Saccharomyces cerevisiae S288C: one gene and its partners. Changing the gene in region 1 together with any one later gene gives a genetic interaction. Each region holds a gene or a part of one and is shown in the gene's direction. Other genes may lie near its edges. The genes, in order: FAT1, PAU10 and ELO3.

Region 1 (3,762 bases):
CCAAGACCATTGAACAATCCCCATCATTCGGCAAATTTGAGATCGACACGGACGCAAACGTTCCAAGAGATTTGTTTGAATATACTTTGGCTAACCAAATGTTGACAGCAATGGCTCAAGGTTATGCTGCTGAAATTTCCGCCAGAAGAAACGCTATGGATAACGCTTCCAAGAATGCCGGTGATATGATCAATCGTTACTCTATCTTGTACAACAGAACAAGACAAGCTGTCATTACTAATGAACTGGTTGATATTATTACTGGTGCTTCCTCTTTGGGATGATAAAAAAATCACCCTGCATTGCCTCTTTATTTGACGTTGTTTTTGTAGAACATGAAACGAATTTTGACTTGATGAGACGAAGTATATATCCAAAGAATACCTTAAATAGAAAAGGAAAGATAATAAATACTAAACACTACTATATATTCAGGTAAAATACAAAAATTATAACATTTTTAAAACTTTTTTTTTTTGAAAGTCCTTCTCGCTTTAGGATTTTTTCCCATTAAGATTATGATGGTTTCATGTATGTGTCAGTTAAAAAAAATATGGCTAAGTAGCAATGAAACGAACCAAGAAAATGAAAACAATATATAGTGCTGTTGAAATAACAAAGACATTGGTATATATTTGTAAAATGTCTGTTAAATGTTTTTTATCTCAGGTTCTTGCTTGTCTTTGGTAGAAGAAATTATAGTAAACAAACAAACAAACAAACAAAAAAAAAAAAAAAAAAATGGTCGCAATCTCAATGATTTGGTTTTTTACCAAGCGTATGCCCAGAATATTTGCATTAGCTTTTAATTTAATTTCAATATTTCTTTTGATTTTTCTTCTCATCGGCTGTTACAACCCGTCAAATCAGTCAACATTTCTAGTGAAGTATAAATTTGATGACAACTCACCTTTTTATACGATCATAGAGAAATCATATGAAAAATCAAATACAACTCTGGGCTTGGAGGAAGTCATTATAAGATCCGGTTACATGGGTGTTTGTATTGATAACATTCCCTCCCAATATAGCTCTTACAATAATATGACTACATTCTCCAATTCAATTTGCTATGCAAGAAAGAATTTAAGCTCGGTTCCCTTATACAGAGACTTGGAAATTCAACTCTCAAATATTGCATCTTCCAGCTCCAAAACCCAATCAAGCGTTGTCTTGAACATTTTGAAGTTAGCCCAATTAACTTCGGTTAATGTTATACATCCATATGTCTTGATGGCAACTGTAATCCTAACAATCCTAATGTTTCTATTTATTCTGTATGTAACTGTCCCTAAGTTACCATTCAAACTAGCGGTTAATAAATTTCTACTGTTGCTAAGTTCAACTATAGTTTTGACATGGGGTATTGGTGCGATGTGGACTCATGTAGGGATAAATGCAAGTTACAGATTGGTTCCATCATCAAGTATGAATATAATCACTGTCAAGAAGGGCAAGAAGGCAGCAGTAATGGCTTGGTTTAGCTTTGCATTCCTCCTTTTAGACAGTGTGGTTTTATGGTTAATATTTTTAAGGGATAGGAAAAGCTTGAAAGATGAAATTGATAATGTTCCATGTGCCCAAAATAGGTACAATAACTACTCTTCGGATTCATCTACATTGCATTCCAAAGTTTAGTTTTATCCTCAAATAAACATATAAGTTTTGAGCGGATATTTCAGAATGTCAATTTTTAAAAGTAAAAGGAGAAAAAATTTATATAATTCACGATTAACATTATATAATGTGATGAACTACTTAAAAAATTTAACGTTCGATAATTAAGTAACAACAGAGAAAATATGAGCTTACCTAAACTCTAATCATTACCGTCTGTTTTATTTACTGTCACCTTGATGAGCGACTAAAAAGATAGAACGCGGGTTTTTCGCGCAATGTAACAAAGCTCCAGAAATTTTTTATAAATACTAATGTTATAGCAAAAAAAATAAGGACCTTAAAGTCGTAAACTAAATTGAAAAGCCCAAATCATTCAAATTCTATATCGTTGAACTTTTAATAGGCTGCGAATACCGACTATGTCTCCCATACAGGTTGTTGTCTTTGCCTTGTCAAGGATTTTCCTGCTATTATTCAGACTTATCAAGCTAATTATAACCCCTATCCAGAAATCACTGGGTTATCTATTTGGTAATTATTTTGATGAATTAGACCGTAAATATAGATACAAGGAGGATTGGTATATTATTCCTTACTTTTTGAAAAGCGTGTTTTGTTATATCATTGATGTGAGAAGACATAGGTTTCAAAACTGGTACTTATTTATTAAACAGGTCCAACAAAATGGTGACCATTTAGCGATTAGTTACACCCGTCCCATGGCCGAAAAGGGAGAATTTCAACTCGAAACCTTTACGTATATTGAAACTTATAACATAGTGTTGAGATTGTCTCATATTTTGCATTTTGATTATAACGTTCAGGCCGGTGACTACGTGGCAATCGATTGTACTAATAAACCTCTTTTCGTATTTTTATGGCTTTCTTTGTGGAACATTGGGGCTATTCCAGCTTTTTTAAACTATAATACTAAAGGCACTCCGCTGGTTCACTCCCTAAAGATTTCCAATATTACGCAGGTATTTATTGACCCTGATGCCAGTAATCCGATCAGAGAATCGGAAGAAGAAATCAAAAACGCACTTCCTGATGTTAAATTAAACTATCTTGAAGAACAAGACTTAATGCATGAACTTTTAAATTCGCAATCACCGGAATTCTTACAACAAGACAACGTTAGGACACCACTAGGCTTGACCGATTTTAAACCCTCTATGTTAATTTATACATCTGGAACCACTGGTTTGCCTAAATCCGCTATTATGTCTTGGAGAAAATCCTCCGTAGGTTGTCAAGTTTTTGGTCATGTTTTACATATGACTAATGAAAGCACTGTGTTCACAGCCATGCCATTGTTCCATTCAACTGCTGCCTTATTAGGTGCGTGCGCCATTCTATCTCACGGTGGTTGCCTTGCGTTATCGCATAAATTTTCTGCCAGTACATTTTGGAAGCAAGTTTATTTAACAGGAGCCACGCACATCCAATATGTCGGAGAAGTCTGTAGATACCTGTTACATACGCCAATTTCTAAGTATGAAAAGATGCATAAGGTGAAGGTTGCTTATGGTAACGGGCTGAGACCTGACATCTGGCAGGACTTCAGGAAGAGGTTCAACATAGAAGTTATTGGTGAATTCTATGCCGCAACTGAAGCTCCTTTTGCTACAACTACCTTCCAGAAAGGTGACTTTGGAATTGGCGCATGTAGGAACTATGGTACTATAATTCAATGGTTTTTGTCATTCCAACAAACATTGGTAAGGATGGACCCAAATGACGATTCCGTTATATATAGAAATTCCAAGGGTTTCTGCGAAGTGGCCCCTGTTGGCGAACCAGGAGAAATGTTAATGAGAATCTTTTTCCCTAAAAAACCAGAAACATCTTTTCAAGGTTATCTTGGTAATGCCAAGGAAACAAAGTCCAAAGTTGTGAGGGATGTCTTCAGACGTGGCGATGCTTGGTATAGATGTGGAGATTTATTAAAAGCGGACGAATATGGATTATGGTATTTCCTTGATAGAATGGGTGATACTTTCAGATGGAAATCTGAAAATGTTTCCACTACTGAAGTAGAAGATCAGTTGACGGCCAGTAACAAAGAACAATATGCACAAGTTCTAGTTGTTGGTATTAAAGTACCTAAATATGAAGGTAGAGCTGGTTTTGCAGTTATTA
Region 2 (3,025 bases), on another chromosome or scaffold:
TTTTTACAGTCCATTTATTGTAACTTAGAAATCAAATTGTGCGACTGGCCATTGTTGCTGTATTTAATAATGTCGTATAACACTCTAAGATTCCGTAATGATTCAAAAGCAGAAATTCGTTGGCTCTAGAGTCTTAAACAACTTACGCAACTACATATATTCATGATTCAAACAGAATGTACCTTTAAAGGTTAGAAATACGACCTCTAATCTGCTTTAAGCAGATGATGCAAGTGCCTTCATGTGGTTAATATATGTGCTATCGTATTAAAAAAAGTTTCCCTTCTCACGTGTCAATAAAGCATCACGAAAACATTCAATACTAGTGTTTTTCGCACAGAAACTTGCCAAATAGGCACCTTTATGCAGCACAATAATTAAAAATGCCCAACGTGACACATTCCAAGGTAATTTTGAAAAATCGTAAGCGCCATTCGTGAAACAGAATAGTGTTACACCCGTGAGAGTAATAGCGAAGTCAACTTAAGCAGATATTGCTACTTTAATCCGCTTATGCTGAATCCATATTCATCTTTTATCAGCTTTGGACGAGAAATTAGTTGTCTTTTAGGCAATGTTCGTGAGTAAGTTGGAGAAAAGATCTGTTTCAAAAGAGTCAACTTGAAGTAATGTCTCAAAAAAAAAAATGATAGTATTGCTTGCTCAAGTGCTAATTATATCTTTTCCTTGACAAAAGTACAAGTTATGCGTCTCCATCGGAAGTATTTTAAGTAGAAATATTAGGTACCAAAAGAAGTAAAAAATTAAAGCTATTCTTATTGGGTCACACTGACTTAAAAATTAAAGGAAAATATTTAATTGCATGTTATTTTGTTTAACTACTATCTTACTTCCACTGGTCCACCGGACCCTCAGGCTTCCTTGCCTTGTGGAACCAGTTTTTTTCTATCGAGAGGAAATTCTCCAGTCTAGTGATATTCCATATGAGAATGGAACACAGGTAAGCAAGGCAGTGGTGCTGATTAATGCGTTGAGAGTGCCAACAGAAAGAACAGAAGCTTGTTTGGGCAGGATATGTACAAGAATGAGGAATTTTTCTTTAACAGGGCTAATTTTGTAGTTTTCTTTTGAGCGATACTTAAATAGCATTTTAGATTCAGAAAAAATGCGTTGCCTAGTTATTGAGCATTAAACTGCGCCCATAAATTCAGGAGGCACTACCAACCCCTGCCACAGAATATTTACTAGGTATAAGTGTTTAACAGTTGCAAGAACCAAGCACATAGATGAAATTATTCAACAGAAGATTCAAAACGTAAAATAAAAAATATTAGCGCCATCCACTGGCCTCTGTACTCTTTTCTTTTCTTTCTTTTTTTTTTTTAACAAGAAAAATGGTACCCGGGTATCGAAGATGTTTCATTACACAAAACCTTGGCACATGATTCAATTCACCCTAACATCAATTAACTCTATTCGAGAAACATGTGCAGCTAACTGTAGCTACCTCGTTTATATATCGCATTCATTCTTGATTGTGGTATCTAATTTCGAATGCCTTAGTGATAGTGAACGGCATCGTAAGCTTCCACGGGTAGGTACGACTCTCAGTACATCATTGCTATTTCACTTCAGCTTGGGAAAAGAAACTGTAACATTATCCCGCGGCAATCGTTTAGAGCATACTAATATAGGCTAAGACAATAGCTTCCGAACGAGGGTCCTTGAAAAAGAAATATGACAGGCACGTAAAAGGGTTCTTCGAAGGCACATGGCGCCCCTATAACGTCGATCTTACATTGCACGCATACGAATACACATTGGCGCCGCAAAACATATCTTCATATACGAAGTTTGTGACGAATTCACGAATCGTTCAAGGACAGGTGCATTTCTATAGTTACGGTGGATAAGGTGTGTTAGATGAAATATGTAGGATCTTGAGGTGAGAAAAGAGTGTCAGTCAGTGGCTCGTTTGGGCAGCACCAGCTGGTGAAGGAATTTGTATAAATAGAGCAGACTTGACCGCCTGTCTTTGTGAATATGCAGTCATTTTTTTCTTCCTAGTAGGGCTTATATCAGCACTAAAAAACAAAACAAATACAATGGTCAAATTAACTTCAATCGCCGCTGGTGTCGCTGCCATCGCTGCTACTGCTTCCGCAACCACCACTCTAGCTCAATCTGACGAAAGAGTCAACTTGGTTGAATTGGGTGTCTACGTCTCTGATATCAGAGCTCACTTGGCCCAATACTACATGTTCCAAGCCGCCCACCCAACGGAAACCTACCCAGTTGAAGTTGCTGAAGCCGTTTTCAACTACGGTGACTTCACCACCATGTTGACTGGTATTGCCCCAGACCAAGTGACCAGAATGATCACCGGTGTTCCATGGTACTCCAGCAGATTAAAGCCAGCCATCTCCAGTGCTCTATCCAAGGTCGGTATCTACACTATCGCAAACTAGAGACAAACGCCAATTTTACGAACGGGTTTCCATAGACATTGAAAATGAACGAACAAAATAAAATAAATAAAAAACTACTTTTTTTTGATGATATAAATACCGTAGATTATATAAATGTATATTAATATTATAAACCTATTTGATCAATGACAGTGTTCGTGAAGCATTTTATGAATACGATGAACATAAGAAAGAAACTTTTACACTATTGTAGAAAAAGCGTGGACGGTAATAAAGCTAACAGAGTATTTCCAATAAACAATAATGAAATTGGAAACGTATGACTTCGCAGCACTTTGTCTTTCCATAAAAATGTGTCGCTGCTTCTTTTTTCATTTTTTGGCGCGTCGCGTCGGGCCGTATAGAATATGCGTCACTTCTAAGAACAAGACTGCAGATCAGGGCAGTGCGAGTTACAAGTCATGGTACCAAACTCTCATTTGGAGATCCTCATTTTTTGACACCTAAAATATTAAGATTTATGGTTTGGGATAGTTTTTTGTAACTGTAACTAGAAATAAAGCTGAGGGGTTAGTGTTCTACCAAAACTAAGATAGAGGGTGGTAAGATGAAGTGAGATGAGACAATATCGTAAT
Region 3 (3,700 bases), on another chromosome or scaffold:
GAAAAATTAAACATGAAGGTATACTATCACGGAAGGAGTTGTCAAAATCGGACGGAACAGTTGTTGGTGACATACAATTTTATCTTCTAGATAATATGCTCTTATTTTTAAAGGCCAAAGCAGTTAATAAATGGCACCAGCATAAGGTATTCCAAAGGCCCATTCCATTGCCATTGTTATTTGCATGTCCAGGTGAAGATATGCCTGCGTTGAGGAAATATATTGGAGACCACCCAGATTGTTCAGGAACTGTAATTCAACCAGAATACAACACGAGTAATCCTAAAAACGCAATAACTTTCTTATACTACGGTGCCAAGCAGAGATATCAAGTTACATTATATGCTGCGCAATACGCTGGATTGCAAACGCTTTTGGAAAAAATAAAGCAAGGACAAGCAGCTATTATAAGCAAAACGGAGATGTTCAATGTAACGAAAATGAGCGATAGGTTCTTCGATTACACCAACAAAATTAACAGTGTTACTTCCTGTGATGGGGGTAGAAAACTTCTGATTGCAACGAACTCTGGATTGTATATGAGCAACATTAAAAGACAGCAGAATAAAGATCATAGACATAAAAGCTCTGCTTTTTTTTCAACTCCAATCCAACTAGTACAAAGAAATAATATCACTCAAATTGCTGTATTAGAAGAATTCAAATCAATCATACTTTTAATTGATAAAAAATTATACAGTTGTCCGCTGTCATTAATCGAAGCAGAAGGTAATGGGACATCTTTCTTCAAAAAGCATCACAAGGAACTGATCAATCATGTGAGTTTCTTCGCAGAAGGAGATTGCAATGGTAAGAGATTAATCGTGACTGCACACAGTTCATCGCATTCAATTAAGTACTTCGAGCATGAACATCCATTATTGGCCGAAAAAAATGGTAGTGGTAGCGGTAACAAAAAAAGTCTCAAGAAAAAAATCACCGAGGTTATTTTTGATTCTGAACCTGTCTCTATTTCATTTCTCAAGGCCAACCTATGCATTGGCTGTAAAAAGGGTTTTCAGATCGTTAGCATTTCACAGAATGCTCATGAATCCTTGTTAGATCCGGCCGATACATCATTAGAGTTTGCACTAAGGGATACTTTGAAACCAATGGCAATCTATCGTGTGGGAAATATGTTTTTGCTGTGTTACACAGAATTTGCCTTCTTTGTCAATAATCAGGGTTGGAGAAAGAAAGAATCGCATATTATTCATTGGGAGGGAGAGCCCCAAAAATTTGCAATTTGGTACCCGTACATCTTGGCATTCGACAGCAACTTCATTGAGATCAGAAAGATTGAAACTGGCGAATTAATTCGTTGCGTCCTTGCTGATAAGATTCGACTTCTACAAACAAGTACTCAAGAAATCCTGTACTGCTACGAGGATTATCGCGGGTATGATACAGTTGCGTCGTTAGATTTCTGGGGTTAAGATAGCAACGTATATAGACTTTCCTTATTTTCTTTAGAATAAAAAGCATAACTAAAGTTGTAAAAGGAGCAGAATTATGAATAATAAACATTGATGACAATAGTGGAAAACGACATAAATAATAATTTTATAATATAATAATGATAATTCACCGTCAGAGGGATTTGTATGCAAATGATTGATGACGCGAGAAAAAAAAACGCGAAATTTTTCTTCCCAAAGCTTCGAAGTTTTTATTCCGTCCACAAAGTGAAAAATTTTCAGAAAATTTTCCAGACTGTGAATAAACAAAAGGTTGGCTTACGCATTTGGCTTGTCTTTTTTTTTTTTCACAGGTTCTTAGTAAATAATTGTATAAAATATTTATCTGGAGTCTTCTGTTTGTTGTTTAGCCTTGTTTGAAGTTTTATTTAACTTATTACCCCAGTTAGGTACTGTGTATTTTCCGCATATCTGGTGTCTTTTTATTTGGTCATTGATTGGTTTTTGACAGCTCTTCACTCGCTTCAAGCTTACTTCTAGTTTATTTATTCGGCTTTTTTCCGTTTGTTTACGAAACATAAACAGTCATGAACACTACCACATCTACTGTTATAGCAGCAGTTGCCGACCAGTTCCAGTCTTTGAACTCTTCTTCTTCATGTTTCTTGAAGGTTCATGTTCCTTCCATTGAGAACCCATTCGGTATTGAATTATGGCCAATTTTCTCCAAAGTGTTTGAATACTTTAGTGGCTATCCAGCTGAGCAATTCGAGTTTATTCACAATAAGACTTTCTTGGCTAACGGGTATCATGCTGTTAGTATTATTATCGTTTATTACATTATTATCTTTGGTGGCCAAGCTATCTTACGCGCCTTGAACGCCTCTCCATTAAAGTTTAAATTGCTTTTCGAGATACACAACTTGTTTTTGACTTCTATTTCTCTAGTTTTATGGTTGCTGATGTTAGAACAGTTGGTTCCTATGGTTTATCACAACGGTCTATTCTGGTCTATCTGCTCTAAGGAAGCCTTCGCACCAAAATTAGTTACTCTTTACTATTTGAACTATTTGACCAAATTCGTAGAATTGATTGACACTGTGTTTTTAGTTTTGAGAAGAAAGAAGTTATTGTTTTTGCACACTTACCATCACGGTGCCACCGCTTTGTTGTGCTACACTCAATTAATTGGTCGTACTTCTGTTGAATGGGTAGTTATCCTACTAAACTTGGGTGTTCACGTTATCATGTACTGGTACTACTTCTTGAGTTCATGTGGTATTAGAGTTTGGTGGAAGCAATGGGTCACTAGATTCCAAATTATTCAATTTTTGATTGACTTGGTATTTGTTTACTTTGCTACCTATACATTCTATGCTCACAAATACTTGGACGGTATTTTACCAAACAAGGGTACTTGTTATGGTACTCAGGCTGCTGCTGCTTATGGGTATTTGATTCTAACATCTTATTTGCTTTTGTTTATTTCCTTCTACATCCAATCTTACAAGAAAGGTGGTAAAAAGACAGTCAAGAAGGAATCTGAAGTTTCCGGCTCCGTTGCATCCGGTTCTTCTACTGGTGTCAAGACCTCTAACACCAAGGTCTCTTCCAGGAAAGCTTAAATAGGAAGCGAGAATTTTTGACAGCGAATGAAAAAGAAAAAAATTAAATGTTAACATTTTCTTTATATTAAATATGTACGATAAATGAAATCATTATTATAGAAATGATAGATTATTGGCTTGGTGTTTTTCCCATTTTGATTAATCATTTCCTTAGCTGCCCAAAGAATTGCACGCTTACAGTGAGGAGTAGTGATACATTACAATTATAAAATAAAATTATATAGCAGCTAAAATTTAAAACAAACAGACTTTGTTCCTTTGTATGTCCTATGGAAGATACTGACTTGCAGTTTGTAAAGTGTCCAAGTCGTAATCCACTTTACTTGCCACGAATTGATCATTGAATAATTTAATTTTAATAATCTCTTGAGTTAAATCGGGATGTACTCTGGGAATGAAGTCATTTAAAAATGAGTACTCTCCCCTAATGGAGGAAGATGACTGACATTGCATTATCTTGAACAAAATTCTAATTATCGGCCCAGCATCATTATCTAAGTATTGGGACCAGAACGCGTTACACACAGGAACATGGATATCAAGTAACTCTTCAATGAAGTTCATTGGTTGTTCTAGCTCTCCAATAATAGAGTCCTCTGTTATTATTCTCTTCTTGAAACGGCCACTATCTCTAATGAAATTGCTTTGTTCACA

The links.
Region 2: mutations in FAT1 (region 1) and PAU10 together harm fitness more than expected from each alone (negative genetic interaction), as found in Saccharomyces cerevisiae (2 studies listed by BioGRID).
Region 3: mutations in FAT1 (region 1) and ELO3 together harm fitness more than expected from each alone (negative genetic interaction), as found in Saccharomyces cerevisiae (6 studies listed by BioGRID, with this or other methods).

What each region holds. Positions count from the first base shown.
Region 1 is NC_001134.8:316,227-319,988, forward strand, and holds the start of FAT1 (long-chain fatty acid transporter FAT1), read left to right. Parts: upstream 1-2,039; coding exon 2,040-3,762. Other genes in the region: ATP3 (F1F0 ATP synthase subunit gamma), read left to right, coding at 1-284; FIG1 (Fig1p), read left to right, coding at 742-1,638. UniProt on the Saccharomyces cerevisiae protein: Acyl-CoA synthetase required for both the import of long chain fatty acids (LCFAs) (C14-C18) and the activation very long chain fatty acids (VLCFAs) (C20-C26) by esterification of the fatty acids into metabolically active CoA-thioesters for subsequent degradation or incorporation into phospholipids.
Region 2 is NC_001136.10:1,521,183-1,524,207, forward strand, and holds PAU10 (seripauperin PAU10), read left to right. Parts: upstream 1-2,066; coding exon 2,067-2,429; downstream 2,430-3,025.
Region 3 is NC_001144.5:865,349-869,048, forward strand, and holds ELO3 (fatty acid elongase ELO3), read left to right. Parts: upstream 1-2,005; coding exon 2,006-3,043; downstream 3,044-3,700. Other genes in the region: Rho family guanine nucleotide exchange factor ROM2, read left to right, coding at 1-1,436; VID22 (Vid22p), read right to left, coding at 3,314-3,700.